Notamacropus eugenii: one gene and its partners. The protein of the gene in region 3 interacts with the protein of the main gene of each other region in a pairwise test. Links are inferred from orthologs where the notes say so. Each region holds a gene or a part of one and is shown on either strand. Other genes may lie near its edges. The genes, in order: APLF, APTX and XRCC4.

Evidence for each region.
Region 1: the proteins of XRCC4 (region 3) and APLF interact in binary tests that used the Homo sapiens proteins (3 or more experiments, as listed by UniProt). The link is inferred for Notamacropus eugenii from reciprocal best matches to the Homo sapiens genes XRCC4 and APLF.
Region 2: the proteins of XRCC4 (region 3) and APTX interact in binary tests that used the Homo sapiens proteins (3 or more experiments, as listed by UniProt). The link is inferred for Notamacropus eugenii from reciprocal best matches to the Homo sapiens genes XRCC4 and APTX.

Annotation. Positions count from the first base shown.
Region 1 is NC_092872.1:635,105,643-635,109,390, forward strand, and holds the start of APLF (aprataxin and PNK-like factor), read right to left. Parts: upstream 2,727-3,748; 5' UTR 2,702-2,726; coding exon 2,606-2,701; intron 1-2,605. UniProt on the Homo sapiens protein: Histone chaperone involved in single-strand and double-strand DNA break repair.
Region 2 is NC_092874.1:312,850,984-312,854,731, reverse strand, and holds the start of APTX (aprataxin), read right to left. Parts: upstream 2,861-3,748; 5' UTR 2,806-2,860; coding exon 2,688-2,805; intron 1-2,687. UniProt on the Homo sapiens protein: DNA-binding protein involved in single-strand DNA break repair, double-strand DNA break repair and base excision repair.
Region 3 is NC_092875.1:460,070,073-460,073,820, forward strand, and holds the start of XRCC4 (DNA repair protein XRCC4), read right to left. Parts: upstream 2,932-3,748; 5' UTR 2,799-2,931; intron 2,211-2,798; coding exon of another isoform or gene 2,208-2,210; exon of another isoform or gene 1,913-2,207; intron 1,690-1,912; exon of another isoform or gene 1,229-1,689; intron 1-1,228. Other genes in the region: TMEM167A (protein kish-A), read left to right, coding at 2,208-2,210.

The DNA of each region.
Region 1 (3,748 bases), on a different chromosome or scaffold from region 3:
TCAAATTGGAAGTTAACAGTAAGTAACCCAACATACCCAAGGGGACTTGCCATCACATTCACCTGCATTCATAAAAGGAAAGAAAACTTTTGCGGGGTTAACAATCACTTTAATCAAGCACATGTATCAATCCTTTAGTCAAGCACATACATCATTCACCTAGTTTAGGGGAGCCAACACCCTAATTCCCAAAGTAATAAACAGATATGGCTTCTTCTGTCTGACCATAACTTGACAGATAGCTGTCTGACCATAATTACCAGAAAATGACATCTGGGTTTTCAAAGCAGGGGGTGGGGGGGCTCCTTAAAGCTGTAGCCCAGAGTCATCATCTGGCCAAACAAACACTTCCAGTCAGTAAACCCCAAAGTAAAATCTCACCCTCAGAGTATTTATGCACTTTTTAGGGCCAGAGGGCATAACCCTCTAACCCAGTGACTCGAGAAAAAACAAAAGGCACTTGGGACCCTCCTACAAAACTATTCCCATAATCAAGCTTCCCACAAAGGGCAGGCCCATCAATGGGTGGGAAAAATCCTCCCAATCACATTATTCAATCAGAGGCACTTTTAGGACAACAAAAACCACAAAAAAATTCTAATTTGATTTCCTTTACACTAGAAAACAGGAACTAGTTAACTATTCCTCAAAGCTTATTTCCTGCTTCGAGTCATTTGTACATGTTATTCCAGGTGCCTAAAATCCACTTCCTTTACATTACTGCTTCTCAGGTTCCATTTCCTTTGTGAAGACTTTCCTGATAGTCCTAAATTGTATTCATTCACCAGTCTCAAATTGATTTGTATTATGTTGTTGTGTAGATTATGGAAGAAATTATTTTTGTCCTTGTATACTAACTACCTGGCACAACGTCTTGTACACAGTAATAACTTAATAAATGTTTTTGTGATTTGAAAGTTGAGTACAAAGTCTTTGGAAGAAAAGCTTAGCACCTTTGAATGGAGTTTAGCAGATGTAAACCAAGTCCCTTTTATTTTCTTTATAAAAAAAGAACAAAAACTTCTCTCTCATCCATTCAATACTTGCATCTGTTGGGATATCTATGCAGAGAAATTGTTTAAATTCTCGAAAGTGGGCAAAATTCTTGGTTAGTAATAAAATGGGGGAAACAATACTGGACTTGGGAGTCATACTACAGTGACAGTCCCAATTTTGCCCCTGGTACTACTAGCTGTAACTTCGGACATACTTAACCTTTCTAGTTCTCAATTACATCATCTGGAAAATAAGCAAGTGGAACTAGATCATCTCTAACGACTACCCTTCCAGCTCTAATATTTCATGACAATGGACAATTGGTTTCTTAAAAGCACCTTTCATCTTTGCTTTTTGAACAAGAAGTTTTGTGGACAAAGCATAAAGCACAAAGTTAGGAATCAAGAAAACCTGAGTTCAAATCTTGCCTCAAGTACTTCCTAGCTGTGTGACCCTAAATCACTAAATCTTTTACCTCTGTTTCTTTATCTGTAAGATAGGGGTAATAATAGCATCTACCTCACAGGACTGAGGATCAAATGAGATAATACTTATTAAGGATTTTGCAAACCTTGAAGCTTACCAGACTTCACGCCTACCTTTGCCAATTATTCACTCAGTCACTTTCTCTACATCTCAGTTTTCCCATTTGCAAAATAAGAACACTGGACTAAATGCCGTTTGGCACTAATTAAAACAATCCTATGCAAAGATAGATAAGAGGGTAAGTTTCTAATAAATCAAATGGAAGATAAAGAGCATAATTTACTCATTTCTAGATCCCAAACCTCTCTCACAGTGAGCATTTATTTATATGCGTGTGTATACATATGTGTGGGTACGTATAACACTTATATAATATATATTATATACACTATATATAATACAGTATATATGTCATATATAACACTTTTTAAGTTTTGCAAAGTGGTTTTACACGTGTTATCTCATTTGATTCTCATAACAACCCAGTGAGCTATCAGCATGCCTATTTTACGGATAAGGAAACTGAGGCAAACAGGTTAAGTGAGCCGCCCGGGATCACCCAGCTAATAAGCATCTTTGTCAGGATTTCATCTCAGGTCTTTCTGACTCCAAATTCAGCGCTCTATCATACAAAGTGCCTACACCTAGGTGCTACAAAAGCAAAGGTGCTGCTGGAGCAGAGATCCGATGGACATCTCAGAAATCTGGCAAACACTTCAATCAGGGCTTGGTGTCTTGTTTTGTTGCTTCTGTGGACTAGAGTAACGGAGAAAATGTTAACAGTGCAGACTAAAATTACAAGTGTATCATGCGGTTTGGGGGGTCTGTGGATAAAACTTTTCGTGCGCACCGCAGCATCGAGGATACAAAGTGACAAAGCCTTGGTTTAAAAAAAAAGGTGAAAACAGCAACGCACACTTGGGAGGCTCAACGAAGTTTGCAAACACTTGGCTCACCCAGGCGTCATCGCCCCCAGCGGAAGACACTTTCTGGCCTGTTTAAAGGGACGGCGGGGCTAGTTGGGCAGCACGCGCCCACCCCGATCGGAAGGCAAAGCGCCAGGGCAGGGTGGGCGAGCCGAGCCGCGGCGCGCCCGGGGCGGGGGGGCTGCTCGTACACTTACACCCAGCAGCGGCCCGCGTCCGATCACCGTCTCCCCGGGCGACAGGGCCACCCGCGGGCCGCCAGATGCCGGCGCTAGCTCGAATCCCCCGGCCATGACGAGAGCAGCTTCGGCCGAAGCCTCGGCCTCGCACGGCGACGCCTCACCGGCCTGCGGACTGAAGGACCCCTTTGCGGGATAATACCCTGGAGCACCGCTGAAACACGAACGCCAAAACACGGGAGACACCCTCTTGCTGACCCCGCCCCATGACGAGCCGGGATTCCCCTCAGCAGCCAATCCAAAGGTTTGCAAGCCTCATACGTGTCCACCCCCATCGCGACTTCCCCGCGGCTCTGGTTCTTGTAGTCTTTAGCTCTGCCGCCTTCCGTTCTCATTCTTGTCCAATTGGAACTCTAAAAACTACTCTTCCCAGCAGGCGCTGTGCAGCTCGCTTTTGCGCCTGCGCAGAAAGAAGGCGTCTGGCACGACGAAGTGGGCGGGGCGTAGAGCAAGCTGGCAAGATGGGGTTGGATTCGAATTCCGAAGCATTTAAACGGCCGTTAGCACTGTAGGGAGGGGGGGCCGTGTAACGGCTGCCCTAGCCCCAAGCAGGTAGGGGACCCGAATTTCCTGGCAGCCCACGCGTCCCGCCTTTGCCAGCGAATGCTGCGAGCCTGACGCGCCGGCTCCCAAGCTTCGGTGACAGTTGATGGGGACCGTGGTTGTTTCGGTCATTGTCAAACTCCCCAGTTATAAGGCGGCCCGGGGCGGGGGGCGACCGAGGAGTAGGCGTGTGTCTCCACTCCTCGGGGCTGGTGACTGATCTCTCCCCGAGGGCTTGCGCCCGGTCCTTCCTGGGGCTGTCATCGGCCCAGGACTGACACCCTCTGCGGAAGGAGGGCGGGGCAGGCGGGGGGAGGTAACTTTGCCGGGTTTTTGTTTTTTTAATGGCATCTTAAAGCTTACCAAGTGCTTTGTCTCACCCTGCGGTGGGGCACGTGCTGCGGGGAAAATTTACACCTGATTTATAGGTGAGGAACTCAAAAGAAACTCAGAGCAGTTAAGTGGTTGCCCGGTGTCCCCCTTACTGCGAAAGGACAGACCTAGGATACTTTGTAGCTTTCAGTGACGAGGGAAGGCAGTTAAAAGTGGTTGCCCGGT
Region 2 (3,748 bases), on a different chromosome or scaffold from region 3:
GGACCCAAGCTCTAAGGTACTAAGATCTTTTTATATACCTTAGGGATATCTAATCACTTGACTGCTTCCAATTCACTCAACCTCCCTCATTCACATCTCCTAGCCCAACATGATCATTCACTTCAATATAACCCTCAATAATATTTTAGACTCTTTCAACTCCTTAATCATCTATGGTACAAATTATCAAACCTATTTTACCATCCCTCCACTGAATTCCACCCTTTCAAAAAGTTTTTTTTCAAGCCTTCACTTTTTAAAAAAATGGAATGAAGGATTTGAAATTAGAGGTCTTAGGTACAAATCTTAGTTAGTACTTGGAGATCTGAGCAAGTCACTTAACCACTCTGGGTCTCAGTTTCAATTATAAAATGAGGCGGTTGGGCCCTTCCTGTTCTATAACCTATATTCCATAGTTCCCTTTCTGTCAAGCTGCTTCAATCCTTCTCATTGCTGGCTCCTTTCCTTTGTCTTCAAGGACACGCAGGTCTTCTCCTTCCTCAAAAACAAACAACCAACTAAACCTTCCCTTGACCCTAAGTAGTCCTCTTAAGTAACCATACTATTTCTGTTCTTCCTTTCATGACTGAACACCTTATAGGAGTATCCTTAAAATGGTGCATTTATTTCTCTCTTTGTTCATTCAACAAATCATAGGTACCCTTTCTCACTCTGGTTTCTATTTCCTCTACTCTACTGGAAATAAAACTAGTATAAGTCACCAGTGGAGATAATATTAGAGCCTACCCCCCAAGGCTGTTGCGAGGCTCAAATGAGATAATAATTGCAATGACTTTCGTATAGTACCTGACATATAGTAGGCTCTTCATAAATGCTTGTTTCTTTTTCATCTCTTAACTCCTGCCCCTTTATCTCCTACCCTCAAGAAGACTAAAGTCCTCATTCTGCCTTCTGGTCTTCCAAAATCTCAAGTTCTTCACAACTACTAGCCTAGAGCCTGCAAGATGAATGGCAACACAGTGTGAATAGTTATCTTCTCAGACTGATTAGCTGTCTTGATTTTTCCTGCCCTAACTTCTTATTGTTTATGGTTTACCCAAATCCACCAAACTCCAAAATTAGCTCTTCCCTCCCTTCAAAACTTTCGTCAATTTAAATAAAAACTGATACTGTAATTAAATTAGGAGAGCAAAGAATAGTTTATTTGTCAGATTTATGGAGAAGGGAAGGACTTATGACCAAACAAGAGAGAGAGAACATTGTGAAATGCAAAATGGATGATGTTGAGTACATTAAATTAAAAAGTTTTTGCACAAACAAAGCCACTGCAACTAAGATGAGAAGAAAAACAGAAAGCTGAGAAACAATTTTTACAGCCAATGACTCTGATAAAGGCTTCATTTTTAAACTATATAGAGAACTGAGTTGAATTTATAAGAATATAAGTCATTCCCTAATTGATAAATGGTCAAAGGATATAAACAAGCAGTTTTCAGAGGAGGAAACTGAAGCTATCTATATAGTCACATGAAAAAATGCTCTAAATCACTACTGATTAGAGAAATGCAAATCAATAGTAAATATTGGAGAAAATGTGGGAAAATTGGAACCCTAATACAATGTTGGCGGAGTTGTGAATTGATCCAACCATTCTGGAAAGCAATTTGGAACCATGCCCAAAGAACTCCAAAAATGTGCACACCCTTTGACCCAGCAATATCGCTTCTAGGTCTGTATCCCAAAGAGATCATAAAAAGGAGAAAACGGCCTTGGGCCCTTTGGTACAAAAATAATTATAACAGCTCTTTTTGTGGTGGCCAAGAACTGGAAATCGAGAGGACGTCCATCAACTGGGGAATGGCTGAACAGGTTGTGGTCTATGGGTGTAATGGAATCGCTACTGCACTGTAAGAAGTGATGAGCAGGAGAAAAACCTGGGAAGACTTCTATGAACTGATGCTGAGTGGAATGAGCAGAACCCGGAGAGCGCTGGCCATGGTACCAGGCACGCCGCTGGAGGGCTGACTTTGATAAGACTTAGGTAGCTCTTCTCAGCAACCAAGGATCTGAGACAACTCCAGATCAACAACGGAAAACGCTGTCCACAACCAGAGAAAGAATCCAGTCTGAAGGGAGTGGAAGCGTCCTATTTGCACTCCTTTTCTTTGGTTGTTTTGTTTCTTCTTTCTCCTAGTTCCATTAGTTCTGACTCTTCTTTACCTCATGACTAACGTGAAAATATGCTTAATATGAAGGTATAAATAGAGTCTATATTAGACTGCGTACCATCTTGGGGAGGGGGAAGGAGAGGGGAGAAAATGCAAAACTCAACGTCTTATGGAAGAGAATATTAAAAATTAGTTATCTAAAAAACCCCCAAAACTCTCTTCTTCTCAAAGTGTGTCTCAAGTAGGTAGCCAACTCTCGACCTATGGGATGAAGTTTAAACTCCTCATTTTGGCACTCGAAGCACGCCATGACATGGACTCGCCAACCTCGATTCCCATACAGCACTAATTCAGACTCTTCAATGGACTTGTCGTGTGAGTGACCCTGGATGTAAAATGAAGGCGAGCTCTAAGGCTCCGTTCATTCCGGCCTACATTCTCATTGCAGACCTTCAGCCCCGTCCTGTCTCGCTCTGCTCCTGGACATCGCGCACCTCGTATTTAGAAGAACATAAGGCCCCTCCCCCTCCTTCGAGGCCCCCGGGCGCTTTCTCCTACCACTGCTCGCACTTCTCTCTACGTAGCCATGGAATAACTCAGACCATCTTCCTCTCTTACGTCGTAAACTCCTGCGAGGATGGGTGCCGTGCCTCTCCCCGCCCCCCACGACACCCATACACTTTGGTGGCTGACTTTAATTCCAATTCTAAAAGTACTGGTTGCTTGGTCACACACAGTCGAGGCAACCACGTTCGTTCTATTCCAGCAGGCCCCGGAAGGTGTTTCCCGAATGGACCGCCAGAGGTCCGAGGGCCCCTTCGGAGAGGGACGCCCCCGGCTCCGGGGTGGCACCGCAGGGCCCACCCTCGCTTCTCCTCCTCCCCCTCTCGGTCCCATTTCCCAGGGAGATGAGCGCCCCGCCCCCTCCACACCGGTCAGCCCCAGACACTGCCACAGAAAGGGCAGAAGCCACGACCAGGCTGGCAGCTTACCTCTTCGGATGTTAATGAAACTGTCTCCAGGAAAACGGCAAAGCTTTCCTTCGGCAGGCACTTCCGGTCGAATTCCGGATCCCCCTTTTCCCAGCCCCTCCCCCAGCAGGACAGCGCACTAAAATGACGTCACAAGGAAGCGACCGCAGCGTTCGCTACGCGGGATTGGCCAGGAAGGGCGGTCCCGCCCCTTCCCTTTTGTGGCGCTCTCGGCCAATCCTCGCAGCAGACGCAGGATCACGGAGGGGAGGCGGGCGTTCCGCCCGGGGCGCTGGCCGGGCCTTTTCCTTTCTTTCCACTCTTTTCTCCGCTTCGTTCCTCTTTCTCCTCTCTGCCGCCCTCCGGGCACTTTCGAAGGGGTTGTAAAAGTCCCTCCGGCGTGAATAGCAAGGGCCTTGTCTCCGTGAGGCTCCGAGGCCCGCGAGCCCGGGGAGGCGGCCCCCTCGCGCCCGGCGTGTCCGCGTCCTAAGCCCCGACGCGGGAGGGGACGCCTAGCCTCGCGCTCCCGTGATCACTGCTTACGTCGGCACGGTTGTACCCCGAGAGGCGGGAGCTTTCCCGGCCGGCCTGGGCTGGAGGCCCGTGCAGCCGCGCTGCCTCGCTGTGGACCGGGCCTCCGTCACTTTA
Region 3 (3,748 bases):
ATCATGTACTCATTTTGACCTTATCTTAGTAAAAGATACAAGATGTTGGTGTATCCTTAGTTTCTGCCTTACCACTTTTCAATTTTCCCAGCAGTTTTTTGTCAAATAGTGAGCTCTTGCCCCAAAAGCTTAGTTCCTTGGGTTTATCAAACACTAGATTACTATAGTACTGTGTACCTAATCTGTTCCACTGATCCACCACTCTTATTTCTTAGCCAGTACCAAAATGTTTTGATAATTACCGCTTTATAATATGGTGTGATATCTGGTAGGGCTAGGCCACCTTCCTTTGCATTTTTTTCATTAATTCCCTTGATATTCTTCACCTTTTGTTCTTCCAAATGAATTATTATTTTTTCTAGCTCTATTATTTTTTGGCAGTTTGGTTAACATAGCACTGAACAAGTAATTCTCACTCTCTTCTAAACCCACTGCAATCTGGCTTCCAAATACATCATTCAAGTAAAACTTTTCTCCAGTTGCCAATGATTTCTTAATTGCCAAATCTAATCTTTCCTGTTTTCATCCTTCTTGACCTCTCTACCACATGTGACACTGTTGGTAACTTCCTTCTTTTTCATACTCTCCTAAGTTTTCATACCTTGCTCTCTCCTGTTTCTTCTCCTTCCTTCACTCTTCAATCTCCTTTGCTGGATTTCCGTCCCTTACTTCTACTAAATGTGGGTATCCCTCACATCTCTGTCCTGAGCTCTCTATACAATCTCACTTGTTGATCTTCATCAGCATCCATGGATTCAATTTTCAGCCTTGCAGATAATTCCCAGATCTATATATACAGCCCTCAGTTATCTCCATAGCTCCACTTCCACATTTTGAACTGGATGTGCTAAAGGCGTCTCAAACTCAACGTATCTAAAACTAAGTTATCTTTCCCCCTAAAATCCACATCTTCTGAAATTCCTTATAACTGTTGAGGACACTACCAGCTTCCTAGTCCCTCAAGTTTGCAAGCTCAAAGCCATTCTAGACTTTATCCCTCTCAATCATGTCCCCACCCCACTGCCAAACCCTGTCATTTCTTCTTCTACATTATTTGTCACCCCCTTCTCTCGACTTCCTATTACCCGTAGGATCGAATAAAGTCTTCTGTTTGGCAACCAAAGCAATTCATATGTCGGTTCTTTTCTGCTTTACTTCACTACCGTCCCGGAACTGAATGATCCAGCCATGCTGGCTTTCTTGGGGTTCCTCCCACAGAACACCCTACCTTCCATCTCAGTGTCTCCACCCGAGCGGTCCCCACGCTGGAAATATTCTCCTTTCTCACCTAGATCCCTAGATTGTCCTGCAGCTCAAACGTTCTGCAGGATCTCCATTCCCTGGGGCCATCAGCCCCAAGCCTCTGGGATTTCTCTCCACGCACGCCGCAGAGCTCTTAAATGTAGCTAGTCATGGATACATTGTAGTCATGGATATATTGTTTCTACACGCGCCTTGGAGCTATTTCAGGGCAAGAACCACAGAACTTGGGGGTGGTTTCTACGTATCTCGGGTCTTAGCCACAACGACGGGCCTACAGTAAGTGCTTAAAAAATTGCTTAATTCCTCTGCCCTACGATTCGCCCACACCTGACCGGGATCTCAACCAATTAAATCTCTCCTTAAACTCTCTAATTCCGCCCCCCTCCCCCCGGCCTGGATTCCGAAGCCCGGAGGGAAGAATGAGGCCAGCCCAGGGGAATAAGGGGAAAGGACTCTGCCCAGGCCCGGAGAAGACTGGGGCTGCTGACGCTTTCCGAAGCAGAGGGAGGGGCAGCGAAGAATGGGAAGCCAGCTCGAGAAGGAGCTGGAGGGACTGGGGAAATAAACTGGGGCAGCCCCCGGGAGTCCAAACCCGACGGCGATCAGCAAAGACCAGGCTCGCTGGGACACCCCCGCTTCCGGGCCCTACCTCGTTCAGAGCCTCCACTTCCGGCTTCCTCCAAAAGGCCCGCTCCCGAGGCAGAAAGAGCCGCGGCCAATCAGAAGGGCCCTTCTCCCATGGCGTCACTACCCGAGCGGCCCCTCCCCTCCATTCTCGACCAACCGCGCCGCCGCAGCCTCGCAGCGCGTGAAGCGCTTTCCTACCTCGGACCAATCATCGGGAAGCGTGGGGAACGAGGCCAGACGGAGGGGGCGGGGCCCAACGCCTCTTCCGCCCGTTGCCCCGGAAGGGTGATGTGGCTGGGGGTAGCGGAGGTCTCACTATGGTAAGACCCGGCGCTCGGGGCTGACTTGGTGCGGGCGGTGGGCAGGGGGTGGCCCCGAGGCACGGGGGTGACGGGACCCGGGGCGGGCTCCGGTGCGCAGACGGGGAGACCCGCGAGGGGAGGCAGCGAGGTGCCCCTCCCCGAACCCCCGAACGAAGGGTTTCTGGAAAGGGTAGAAAAGAGAGGGCCGAGAGACGGGGAGGGGGGCGGGGAGGAGAAGGACGAGGAGAAGCCCCCCGCGCCCGGCTACCGGCGTCCCAGAGCGCCGGCGGAGCGCGGGGCCCGGCGCTGCCCAGAGATGCCCCCCGCCCGCGGAGGCCTTTAAAAATAGCCGCTGAGAGCGTCCCCGGCCCGGTGGGAGAGGCCCGATCGTGGCGCGGTTTGTCTTCGGGGCTTTAGGCTCCCGGGTTTTCTCTGCCGGTTTTCCTTTCCCGTCCTCACCCGGGCACCGTCTAGGGAAGACTTTTCAGGCCCCAGCGCGGGCTGAAAGAGCTATTTGTTTGTACCATCCCCCCACAGGCAGTGGTGCACCCCCAAGGTGTCCGTCACTGAAGTGACCTTGCCTGCCTGCCCCCCAAACCTGCTTACGTAAAAGGTGAAGCCTCCTTAGGGGACGCCTCATCTGGAAGTGACGTCAAAATAAATCTTGAACCGATGAAGGCATAACAAGTATTTGAGTGGTGGGAGGATCTCATATGAAGCTTCTTATACGTAGTATTTGTCAGTTAGATTAAACACCAAAAGATTTTGCTGTGTATTTGCCCCATCTCTGACTCCCACTGGATGTGTGACCCCCGGTGTCTCCAAAGGAACTGAAAAATACCGTAAATTACATAGCTGGTACTGCTCTAGATTGGCAGAGGGAGTTTCCTTACTAGAAATTAATTCCCTGTTCAGCCAATGAAATCTTTGTTTGTTTTTTAAAGCCAACATATTTACAAAAGAAGGCTTCAATCCTTGTAACCTGAAAAGTTGTCCTGACTCCAGCCAGTACCGTACCTTGGGTAGAAGTTCAGCATTTCCAGTTTAATAGCTAAATAGTGAGTCCTGACTATTTTTTTCTACCCAGATTTTACATTGCTAGATACACTATTGTAGGTTAAGATTCTCTGTGATGATAAATAAACTTGATCCTCTAACAGATTTAAAGGTAGCTCTGGGAAGTTGTCTAGTGGTTGACTTTTTTTTAAAAAATTGCAATTCTAAACTTGACACAGCTTAAGAAAGAAATAGAATTGTATATGAAGCTTTGAATATCGTTATGAATCACTTGTTTGTTTTTCTTTAATTCAGCATGTTCCAAAGCTGCTTTGCTTGTCGGTGTTTCTCTGAACCTCTTTGCATTTTCTTTCAGTGCTTCTCTTGTGCTCTTGTATTTTTTGACATTGCTATTACCATTCTCATTCTCTCCCCCACGGAGCAAACAAACAAATATCTTGTTATATAACAAGTTAGCATAATCAGGTAAAAAGAAATCCACACATTGACCATCCCTGAATATGCACTTCTAGTCAGTTCTGTGAAGAGATGGGAAATCT